Schizosaccharomyces pombe: one gene and its partner. Changing the gene in region 1 together with any one later gene gives a genetic interaction. Each region holds a gene or a part of one and is shown in the gene's direction. Other genes may lie near its edges. The genes, in order: pdc202 and phx1.

Region 1 (4,534 bases):
TTCAAGGAGAAGAGTTGTGGAAGAATCTTGAAACTGCTTCCCATGATGCTGGAGACCTTTTCTGGCGTATGCCATTTCACGAGGCTTACCTCAAGCAACTTACAAGTTCTTCAAATGCTGATTTGTGCAATGTTAGTCGTGCCGGTGGTGGTTGTTGTACAGCGGCTGCCTTTATTAAATGCTTCTTAGCCCAGAAAGATTTGTCTTTTGCTCATTTAGACATTGCCGGAGTTATGGATAAGCAGCTTAATTCTTGGGATTGTGACGGCATGAGCGGACGCCCAGTTCGCACTATTATTGAAGTCGCTCGCAAGTATTAGCTTATTTATTTTCTTGGCTATATGTGCAAACTTTATGTTTTTACTTATTTACTGTTGATTACACCAATCTCATTTTTCAATGTCCTTGTTAAGTGTATGTCAATGATATGTAGCTATCATGATTTTATTCTTTTTAATACTGTTTTCCACAACCGTTCATAACGGTTGTAAGGACCGAGTCTTTCTGATGGCTCTGGTTCTGTTTCCTTTAAAAATAAAATCAATTCGGTTGAAGTCTCATGTTGTTAAATTTCACTTTCGAAGTAGCGAATTTTTTTTTTCTATTTTGAATATAGATTTGTTTATTAAATGTAGTAATCAATTTACTCATGACTATTACTTTTGTCAAACAAAATCATAATACAAAACTAAATCTTTAAAGGTAGAATATTCTCCTGTGCGAGTTTACAATACTTTGGGATATGATCAAATCAATTTTTTTTAGATATCTGTTGAAATTTTTATAACAGTAATTTTGTATTATTTATCATACTATTTATTAGCGTTACCTGCCCTCTTAAATGTACACATCATGTGGGGGTGGGGGAACCAGTGCTGGAGATCACTTCTTGCTATACCGTTTGGCTCATGGCAACTATTGAGGATAGCAAGGAGCGTTACAATTTGCAAATCAATATGATAAACAGAAAAACAACAAGTTGAAGCTTAACACTGTAGCAATATAACAATGAAAAAAATAATCAGAATTAAAGCAAGAAGCCTATAAATGGTCCATCAATTGTGAAATCGATATTGCTAGATGTCAGGCAAATCGTGAACTCGGTTGAAAAATGTCGTTAATATTCATGTGAAATCATAATTACAGCAATATGTTCAAAGACTTTTGGATACTTTATAATAATGAGGATTCTATTTTTGAGTGGTCACATGGTCTCGTAACCATGAGGTACGCCTTACTTTTACGGACGAAACAATATTTCACATTCAGCTCTCAATGTTAAGTATCCAAACAAACATGGTACAAACCAATAAAGCATGTAAATTAATAAGCTTGAAATAAGGAATAGTCATTAAATTCAGTTTAGACATAATGTAAAAGGTATCAATTTTGTCTTTGGTATAGATACAATTAAGAATTTCGAGACGGAACGTTCGGTGATGTAGAGTTTTCATAATAATTTCTGCAGTTGCTTACACTAACCGAAGAATCGTCCAGTATAAACTGCTGACGATGCCTTAAATCAATAATTGCAAATTGCATAGTTGACGTTTTCCCGGGTGGCACATAGTGAGATTTGAGTCGAATAATGAAATAGCCTCTGACGAGTGGTTTCGTACCAAGAGTTTCAAAAAGAATAATCCACATTAACTCAATGTATCATTGATGACGGAATGTTGCTTATATAGCCAGAGTAACCCTGCTCTGAAGCATCTAAGGTTATATCTTTTTAACTTTTAGCTAGCAAACTCACTTGTTCCTTTAAGTTCAGAAAGTATCTGCTGGTTATTCAACAGATAATTATCTTGCGAAAAAGGAATACACACTCAGCATTGTAATTTGTTGAGTATATTTCACAAGCACATTAAATTGCATTATCAAACATGAGTGGGGATATTTTAGTCGGTGAATATCTATTCAAAAGGCTTGAACAATTAGGGGTCAAGTCCATTCTTGGTGTTCCAGGAGATTTCAATTTAGCTCTACTTGACTTAATTGAGAAAGTTGGAGATGAGAAATTTCGTTGGGTTGGCAATACCAATGAGTTGAATGGTGCTTATGCCGCTGATGGTTATGCTCGTGTTAATGGTCTTTCAGCCATTGTTACAACGTTCGGCGTGGGAGAGCTTTCCGCTATTAATGGAGTGGCAGGTTCTTATGCGGAGCATGTCCCAGTAGTTCATATTGTTGGAATGCCTTCCACAAAGGTGCAAGATACTGGAGCTTTGCTTCATCATACTTTAGGAGATGGAGACTTTCGCACTTTCATGGATATGTTTAAGAAAGTTTCTGCCTACAGTATAATGATCGATAACGGAAACGATGCAGCTGAAAAGATCGATGAAGCCTTGTCGATTTGTTATAAAAAGGCTAGGCCTGTTTACATTGGTATTCCTTCTGATGCTGGCTACTTCAAAGCATCTTCATCAAATCTTGGGAAAAGACTAAAGCTCGAGGAGGATACTAACGATCCAGCAGTTGAGCAAGAAGTCATCAATCATATCTCGGAAATGGTTGTCAATGCAAAGAAACCAGTGATTTTAATTGACGCTTGTGCTGTAAGACATCGTGTCGTTCCAGAAGTACATGAGCTGATTAAATTGACCCATTTCCCTACATATGTAACTCCCATGGGTAAATCTGCAATTGACGAAACTTCGCAATTTTTTGACGGCGTTTATGTTGGTTCAATTTCAGATCCTGAAGTTAAAGACAGAATTGAATCCACTGATCTGTTGCTATCCATCGGTGCTCTCAAATCAGACTTTAACACGGGTTCCTTCTCTTACCACCTCAGCCAAAAGAATGCCGTTGAGTTTCATTCAGACCACATGCGCATTCGATATGCTCTTTATCCAAATGTAGCCATGAAGTATATTCTTCGCAAACTGTTGAAAGTACTTGATGCTTCTATGTGTCATTCCAAGGCTGCTCCTACCATTGGCTACAACATCAAGCCTAAGCATGCGGAAGGATATTCTTCCAACGAGATTACTCATTGCTGGTTTTGGCCTAAATTTAGTGAATTTTTGAAGCCCCGAGATGTTTTGATCACCGAGACTGGAACTGCAAACTTTGGTGTCCTTGATTGCAGGTTTCCAAAGGATGTAACAGCCATTTCCCAGGTATTATGGGGATCTATTGGATACTCCGTTGGTGCAATGTTTGGTGCTGTTTTGGCCGTCCACGATTCTAAAGAGCCCGATCGTCGTACCATTCTTGTAGTAGGTGATGGATCCTTACAACTGACGATTACAGAGATTTCAACCTGCATTCGCCATAACCTCAAACCAATTATTTTCATAATTAACAACGACGGTTACACCATTGAGCGTTTAATTCATGGTTTGCATGCTAGCTATAACGAAATTAACACTAAATGGGGCTACCAACAGATTCCCAAGTTTTTCGGAGCTGCTGAAAACCACTTCCGCACTTACTGTGTTAAAACTCCTACTGACGTTGAAAAGTTGTTTAGCGACAAGGAGTTTGCAAATGCAGATGTCATTCAAGTAGTTGAGCTTGTAATGCCTATGTTGGATGCACCTCGTGTCCTAGTTGAGCAAGCCAAGTTGACGTCTAAGATCAATAAGCAATGAGCAAGCTATTGAGAGTGGAATTGGCAAACAAAGTTTCCTTTGATTTATATGTTTTTTATGATAAGCCCATTCAATTCATATAGTCTTTTAGTATAATGATTAGTTATTAAATTTATGTTTAAAGCAACTTTTTAGTTTAAAATTTTTCAAGTCAAGTTAGGGTGTACGTAAACAAACAATACCTTGGAAGCAATGAATGAAAAGGTAGAGTTAATCCAAACAATGTGGAAACCAGTTTCCTTGCATCTACTTACTAGTTTCGCAGAAAAATTGCTAAACTGCTTAAAAGCCAACTTTAACATTCTTATTTCTTACATAGGAGCTACCGTTCCATTCACATTGTGATATGCTAAGAATTTATTAGTTTTACAAAAATTGGGTGATTCTACTATTTAATACAGTGGTTTTGTAACGTAATGAAATTATAACGCTCGTTTATTACGATTTCCTAGGTAATGTAGCGGGTAAAGGCAATTGACTGATATTATGTATCACTCTATCACAGCAACGGACGAACGGTTTGCGTTGTTGTTTATAAATGGTTCTGCAACGCAGCTTCTGACTTTGACACTCTACACCACACCATACTTCAGCGCTCTATTCTTTCGCATAGGAAGGTAAGCTGCATTTCGTGGCGTTTGGTACCTTGAAAAAATATATTTTGGTTAATATTCGTTGGCTTTTTCTTTTAATTCTTGCTACTAATTCCAAGAATTGTGTAAGTATAGGAAGAGGCTGTGTTGATCGGTTAGTTTCGTAATTTCGGCATACTAGTGATTCCTAAAATACCGACTACTAATAATTATAAAGCTTAGATCACTTCTTTGGCTAAAGTAATTAAACCAGGAAGTCTTAAAATTCCGCTTTTTAGCATCCTAAAAATTTCCCCGTCATTTCTCAAAAGTGTTAAACGCGTGAATGTTCTCAAAGCTCTG
Region 2 (7,487 bases), 1.9 Mb from region 1:
GTATCATTGCTGAAACTGGTGCTGGTCAGCATGGAGTTGCTACTGCTATCTGTGCCGCTAAATTTGGTATGAAATGTACTATCTACATGGGTGCAGAAGATTGTCGTCGTCAAGCACTCAACGTTTTTCGCATCCGTCTTTTGGGAGCTGAAGTCGTTCCGGTTACTTCAGGTACACAGACCCTTCGTGATGCTGTTAACGAAGCTTTGAAGGCGTGGGTCGAACAAATAGACACCACTCATTATTTAATTGGATCTGCAATTGGCCCTCATCCATTCCCTACCATTGTTAAAACTTTCCAAAGTGTCATTGGCGAGGAAACGAAAGCGCAAATGCAAGAGAAGCGTAAAAAACTTCCTGATGCAGTTGTTGCTTGTGTTGGTGGTGGATCCAATTCGATTGGAATGTTTTCTCCCTTCAAAGCCGATAAAAGTGTAATGATGTTGGGTTGTGAAGCTGGTGGTGATGGTGTAGATACCCCCAAACATAGTGCTACATTGACTATGGGAAAAGTTGGTGTATTTCATGGAGTTCGAACATATGTTCTGCAACGCGAAGATGGACAAATTCAAGATACTCACTCTATATCTGCTGGATTGGATTATCCAGGTGTGGGACCCGAATTATCTGAACTTAAATATACCAATCGCGCAGAGTTTATCGCTGTCACTGATGCTCAATGTTTAGAAGGATTCCGCGCTCTATGTCATCTTGAAGGTATCATTCCCGCTTTGGAATCTTCTCATGCTGTGTATGGTGGAATGGAGCTTGCTAAAAAGTTACCTAAAGATAAGGATATTGTGATCACCATTTCAGGTCGTGGTGACAAGGATGTTCAAAGCGTAGCTGAACAACTTCCTATTTTAGGTCCTAAAATTGGATGGGACCTTCGCTTTTAAGCAATGTTCTACTCACGATTTTCTGATTTATATTAAGGCTCCGTAAACTTAAGCGGAGTTGCGATCTATAGATATACAAGCATCGCATGCGATTAAACTTTTTTATACCAAAACATATGTGTATTTCTTTTTATCTATAAATATCATTTCAATTTTGCTTCTACTATTTACTAGCCTTAAATAGCGTTGTAGTCATGTAATAACCTGTACATAATACTGTACTTATTTACCTAATAAAGGTTTTCTGTGGATTTAATTTCTTAGGCTAATTTTTCAAAGGCTTAAGAGAATTATGTGTATGCTGAAGAAGAACATTCAACAAAGCGGTTTTCTTTAGTCTATGATTTTGAGAATCATGTCCTATTTACACTACAATGCAAGTGCAAAAAATGTTTTAAAACAATTTATCAGCACGAGCAAGATGTCGTAGTATTTTCAATTTATATGGTTTTGGCTTTTTAGAGTCGCGACATAGTCTATTAACATAAGCTTTAATCTTTGGTATATTAGCAAATCTTCCAGATTGAAGTTAGCAGTTTATGGAGAGAAAATAAAATTCTTTCTGTATATTCGCCTAATAAGACCACTCAAGTCTTTAGCACTGAATAATAAAAAGTGTCACAAATCTTTGAACTATGGTAAAACTCCCAATTACAATTACTTAAGTTCGCACTCCTAAAACAGCATTACCCGTAGAATAAATTGAAAAAAAAGTATAAAATCAAACAAGTGGTACAGATCAAATTTTTAAAAATTTAGTAATGTTTCTATGTTTTTATATTACAATATTCAGATAGGTAGTATTCTCGCTTACAGTTTAGACAGTAAATGTAACATTAGTGTTTCTCCACAATTCCCCACATAGTTAATAGTAAAGTTGAGGACAAAATTATGATTTATCTATATATTCTATGAATTACATATGACCCTAGATGTACCCATTCGACAAAAGTATCCTTCAAATAATAGGTCTTAAAAACAAAGACTTGCTCATTAGAAGCAATCGATCGTTCATTCACTTTACTAAAGGATTTACCAATATGTATTGGGGGCGTCGTTTCTAAGGCAAGGTAGTACGTTAGAGTTCGTAATATAATTGTTCGGTTAGTTAAGTGAAGAGCGATATGTGAATTAAAACCACCACATCAACCATATAAAAACTACATTATTTATGAAACCATAAGCATTCTGTTTAATTCATTAAATTAGGACAGAAATTAATTAGGCTCTTGCAAGGATCAAATTGGAGTGAAATTGCATCTCTTTACGATATTTCAAGTTGTGTTTTATTGCATTAGATTTAGAGGAGCAATCAGCAACGATCTATTAGCAGTGAACGTTAACGAATATCTCAATTACATTCGGATCTTTAATTATTTGGTTTATTTATTTTTTTAATAACAAAAAAGGGAAAGAAAAATTGGGGAAAGAGAAGGGAATAATTATATTGTTAATTTTGCAATATTTTTTATCATTTAATTAGCAAACTTTTATTATTTAATTTTTAGGCAAATTTGACAACTCATCTCTTCATTTAGTCAATTTTTATTTGTTTTGACATTTGTGAGATATCCAGGGATCGATAGCCTCTGTCTACAAAGGGTCGTGTCTCTTAGTTTTCGTCAATCAGTTTCTTTCAAGATCTAGAAGGCGTACTAATTATTTCTACTTGGAGACTTTAAAGCTTGGGTATTGCTTGTCCACTGTGCTTATGTATCTGAACATAGCTACAATCTCTGCTACAAAAGCTAAAGAGAGAAGTCCCCTCCAAGAAGGGATCAAATTTATTTCGTTAGGGTTTTCTTCTGGTCAAACTTTTTTTTGGATAGGATAAGTTTTTAATTACAATAAATTCAGCGGCTGGGGTTTCATAAGTGCCCCATATTTCGAGGGTACCAGGTTCACGTTTTTTGCGTCTCCTCAAGTACTCAGAGATTCCACGGAATTTCTTTCAATTTAATTTTTTTTACATCATTTTATTTCTCTGAGCTTTCTTTAATTAATCTTCCAAAGTCACCATTCAATTTGCATTTCTTGGCATACTTTTTGAAGCAAATTTTTATTTCTCATAAGGATTTTATTTTCATTTCATTTTATTTCTAAGAACAATATGCGTAGTTATTCGAACCCAGAAAATGGTGGTCAAATTAATGACAATATTAATTATTCTGAGAAGCGACCTACAATGCTCCCGGAGAATTTGTCCTTGAGCAACTATGACATGGATTCTTTTCTCGGTCAGTTTCCATCTGATAATAACATGCAATTACCCCATTCAACGTATGAGCAGCATCTTCAAGGGGAACAGCAAAATCCTACCAATCCTAATTATTTTCCTCCTGAATTTGACGAAAACAAAGTAGATTGGAAACAGGAGAAACCCAAACCGGATGCACCGAGTTTTGCAGATAATAATTCATTTGATAATGTGAATAGTTCGAAATTGACGAATCCATCGCCAGTTCAACCTAATATTGTTAAATCTGAGTCGGAACCTGCTAATTCAAAGCAAAATGAAGTTGTTGAAGCTACATCTGTTGAGAAAGCTAAGGAGAATGTCGCTCACGAAAGTGGTACTCCTGAGAGCGGCGGATCTACTTCTGCGCCAAAGAGCAAAAAACAGCGCCTTACTGCAGATCAACTTGCTTATTTGCTTCGGGAATTCTCCAAAGATACTAATCCACCTCCAGCTATAAGGGAAAAAATTGGACGCGAGTTGAATATTCCGGAACGTAGCGTAACTATTTGGTTTCAAAACAGAAGAGCAAAATCAAAGCTCATTTCAAGACGTCAAGAAGAAGAAAGACAAAGGATCCTTCGTGAGCAGAGAGAATTGGATTCCTTAAATCAAAAAGTTTCACAAGCATTTGCGCACGAAGTATTGTCTACTTCACCTACCAGTCCCTACGTTGGGGGAATAGCAGCTAATAGGCAGTATGCGAACACGTTATTGCCTAAACCAACTAGAAAAACAGGAAACTTTTATATGAAAAGTGGACCTATGCAATCTTCCATGGAGCCATGCATAGCAGAGTCAGACATTCCGATCCGTCAGTCTCTTTCTAGTACATACTACAATAGTCTAAGTCCAAATGCCGTTCCTGTCTCAAGTCAAAGGAAATACTCTGCCTCTTCTTATTCCGCAATCCCAAATGCTATGTCGGTATCAAATCAAGCTTTCGACGTAGAATCTCCACCCTCTTCGTATGCTACTCCACTTACAGGCATCCGTATGCCTCAACCAGAGTCAGATCTTTACTCCTATCCTAGAGAAGTGAGCCCTAGTTCTGGGGGTTACAGAATGTTCGGTCATTCCAAGCCTTCATCATACAAAGCATCAGGGCCTGTTCGTCCTCCTAATATGGCAACAGGGCACATGCGTACTTCTTCAGAACCGACCTCATATGATTCGGAATTTTACTACTTTTCTTGTACATTACTAGTAATTGGTTTATGGAAAAGACTACGAGCCTCTCCTCAGGATTTAATGTGTTTCTACTCTCCGCCAAAGAAATTATTTGCATATTTGATTCAATTCCAGGGGATTCAGTATCGTATTGAATATTCTTTTTTTGTCATTGAGTCGATACACGTTTTTAGAGTAGAGGAGCCCTTGTTAAATGAGTTGAGTGCAACTGCGTCTAGTCGAGATAAACCGGCACCAAATGAATATTGGCTTCAAATGGATATTCAGCTGAGTGTTCCACCAGTATTTCACATGATCACTTCCGAAGGACAGGGAAATTGTACGGATTTTACTGAGGGTAATCAGGCTTCGGAAGTTTTATTACATTCTTTGATGGGAAGAGCTACTAGCATGTTTCAAATGCTCGATCGGGTTCGAAGGGCATCGCCAGAGTTGGGGTCTGTAATCCGCCTTCAAAAAGGTCTTAATCCTCACCAATTTTTGGACCCTCAATGGGCTAATCAACTTCCTAGACAACCTGATAGCTCTGTATTTGATCATCAAGGAAGAAACCCTCCTATCCAGGGATTGTCTCATGACACTTCTTCTGAATATGGCAATAAAAGCCAGTTTAAAAGGCTTCGTAGCACTTCAACCCCTGCTAGACAGGATTTGGCTCAGCATCTTTTACCTCCGAAAACTAATACTGAAGGGCTTATGCATGCTCAATCTGTGTCTCCTATTACTCAAGCAATGAAATCTGCTAATGTTTTGGAAGGAAGTTCTACAAGACTAAACTCTTATGAGCCTTCAGTTTCATCTGCTTATCCGCACCATAATTTAGCGCTTAATCTTGATAACACGCAGTTTGGTGAGCTTGGCACATCTAATATATCATATCCTTTATCGGCACCATCCGATGTCGGCTCACTTCCTCGAGCATCCAATTCACCAAGCCGACCTGTGATGCATCCAAATACACAAGGTATTAACACGGAAATAAAAGACATGGCAGCGCAGTTTCCCAATTCACAAACTGGTGGTCTCACTCCAAATTCATGGTCAATGAACACAAACGTATCCGTCCCATTTACGACTCAAAACAGAGAATTTGGCGGCATTGGCTCTTCTTCAATTTCCACCACGATGAATGCACCAAGTCAACAGTTATCTCAGGTACCATTTGGAGATGTCTCCCTTGCTACTGAGAACTCTGTCCCGTCGTATGGATTTGAAGTACCATCTGAAGAGTCTGTTTACGCGCAAGCCCGTACAAATTCATCTGTTTCTGCTGGGGTTGCTCCTCGGTTATTCATTCAAACACCGTCTATACCTTTAGCATCATCTGCTGGACAGGATAGTAATTTAATTGAGAAAAGTAGTAGCGGTGGTGTGTATGCGTCGCAACCCGGAGCTTCGGGCTACTTATCTCATGACCAAAGTGGTAGTCCATTTGAGGATGTTTACTCTCCTTCTGCTGGTATAGATTTTCAGAAACTTCGTGGTCAACAATTTTCTCCGGACATGCAGTAAATTTTGTGATATGATGATTAACGGTACAATTGAAACTCGCTTGAAGCTTGCTTATTTTCGTTTTCTTTTGATAACGAGAAGATGTTTAACTCTTGAAAATTACATGCCTCGTTTGTATTTTTATGACCGCTTACGTTTTTATAAATTCATCAATATCTCTAAAAGGTTTAAAGGATTAATTTTTGATCTATATTATACAAGGTATTCTTGAATAATGTTTAATTTGGTGATAAAAATACAATTCCATGGAAAAAAATTGTGCTTCCATGTATTATTGTCTGGGAAGAACTTTGATGCGAAAAAAAAAATAAAAGACCTCTACAAGGCACTTCATATACGATTATGTATGGTTTATGTTTTTTTTACTTCTTTAATTTTATTTTATTTTATGTTCCAAAGCGATAGGAGGTATTACATATTGTTGTATCGTGTATGCAATACTTAATGATCCTAGCATTTCATTTGAAGAAACTCCGTCAATGATCGAATCCAAATTCCACTGAAAAAATGTAATGGAGTTTGAACAGTATCGTACCCACGAGCGTGAGTTGGATTATTGAGTTTTTGCATGTTTAGCCGACACATATTTTTTTGGCGACTTTAAACTTTTTTATTTACCATTTATTTCTCTTTTTAAGTTATGAATAATTTCTTTTTCCTCATGTATATTATTACTTTATTTTCATGTTTTTTTTTTTATTAATTTGACATTTAGGACGATTATTATTTTCGTTATTTCTCCTTTCCAGCGGGAACGTTTCAGCATCACAGTTTTTGCACATAAACTATAATAATTTTGAAAGCATTATGAGTTAATTTAGTAGAATTAGATTCTTTGAAACATAATCCATCAACGAAGCTGTCCGCCTTTTTTTTAAGAGGTGCATGCCATATATAGTCATTTTCTGTGTAAATAAACATTTCACTAGTAGATAATTTTTTGAGATGAGCAAAGAATTGAATGAACCAAAGTAATAATTGTTAAGATATAATATTAGAAAATTTATTTTAAAGATGTATATTAGAATGTATTTAGACTAAGCTCGTAATATATATTTTTTTCATTTTCTTAAAATTTATTTTGTTTTATTATAAGAATGAATTTATGTTTCATGAATGGAGAATATCAATAAAAAAATTGTTTGGAGGTGACAAATATATAAGATTTGCTTTTAATATCTATAAAATAATTTTTATCAGTTAGTACAAAAGTATAGGACAAAAATATGAACAATGATTTCGGGCGCCTACTTTGAAGGTGATGTTGTTTTTTGCTGATGCCTATAAGCTGAAGCTAAAGCAGCACACACCAGATTAGATAGATGATTGATTATACTGAAACACTCTAAGATACGGAAATTCTCCGAACAATAAGAAAGCCAAAAAAGAGAAAAAGAAGTGAAAGAAACGCCTTCCATATATCGATTGAACATTGCGACCAATCGATCAACTAACAAGAACAAGTAAGCCAGCCCAGCCCTTCTTCTTCCACTGTTTACCGAATAATGAAGAACAATATGTAGCAAGCCAGTAAATAGCGATACTTACTGCAATATATAACCACATCACATATTTAGCGCATGACGTAGTTTACTTCTTCAAACTACACTATAGTTTTGGACATGAAACGGTTGAACGTCAATATAGTG

Evidence for each region.
Region 2: of pdc202 (region 1) and phx1, changing one suppresses a phenotype caused by changing the other (phenotypic suppression), as found in Schizosaccharomyces pombe (one study listed by BioGRID).

The regions. Positions count from the first base shown.
Region 1 is NC_003424.3:583,714-588,247, forward strand, and holds pdc202 (pyruvate decarboxylase), read left to right. Parts: upstream 1-1,883; coding exon 1,884-3,599; 3' UTR 3,600-3,782; downstream 3,783-4,534. Other genes in the region: ysp2 (peptidase family M17 cytoplasmic leucyl aminopeptidase yspII (LAP yspII)), read left to right, coding at 1-320.
Region 2 is NC_003424.3:2,451,070-2,458,556, reverse strand, and holds phx1 (DNA-binding transcription factor, stationary phase-specific Phx1), read left to right. Parts: upstream 1-2,038; 5' UTR 2,039-3,009; coding exon 3,010-5,838; 3' UTR 5,839-6,764; downstream 6,765-7,487. Other genes in the region: trp2 (tryptophan synthase), read left to right, coding at 1-899. UniProt on the Schizosaccharomyces pombe protein: Trnascription factor that regulates the expression of the homocitrate synthase (HCS) lys4.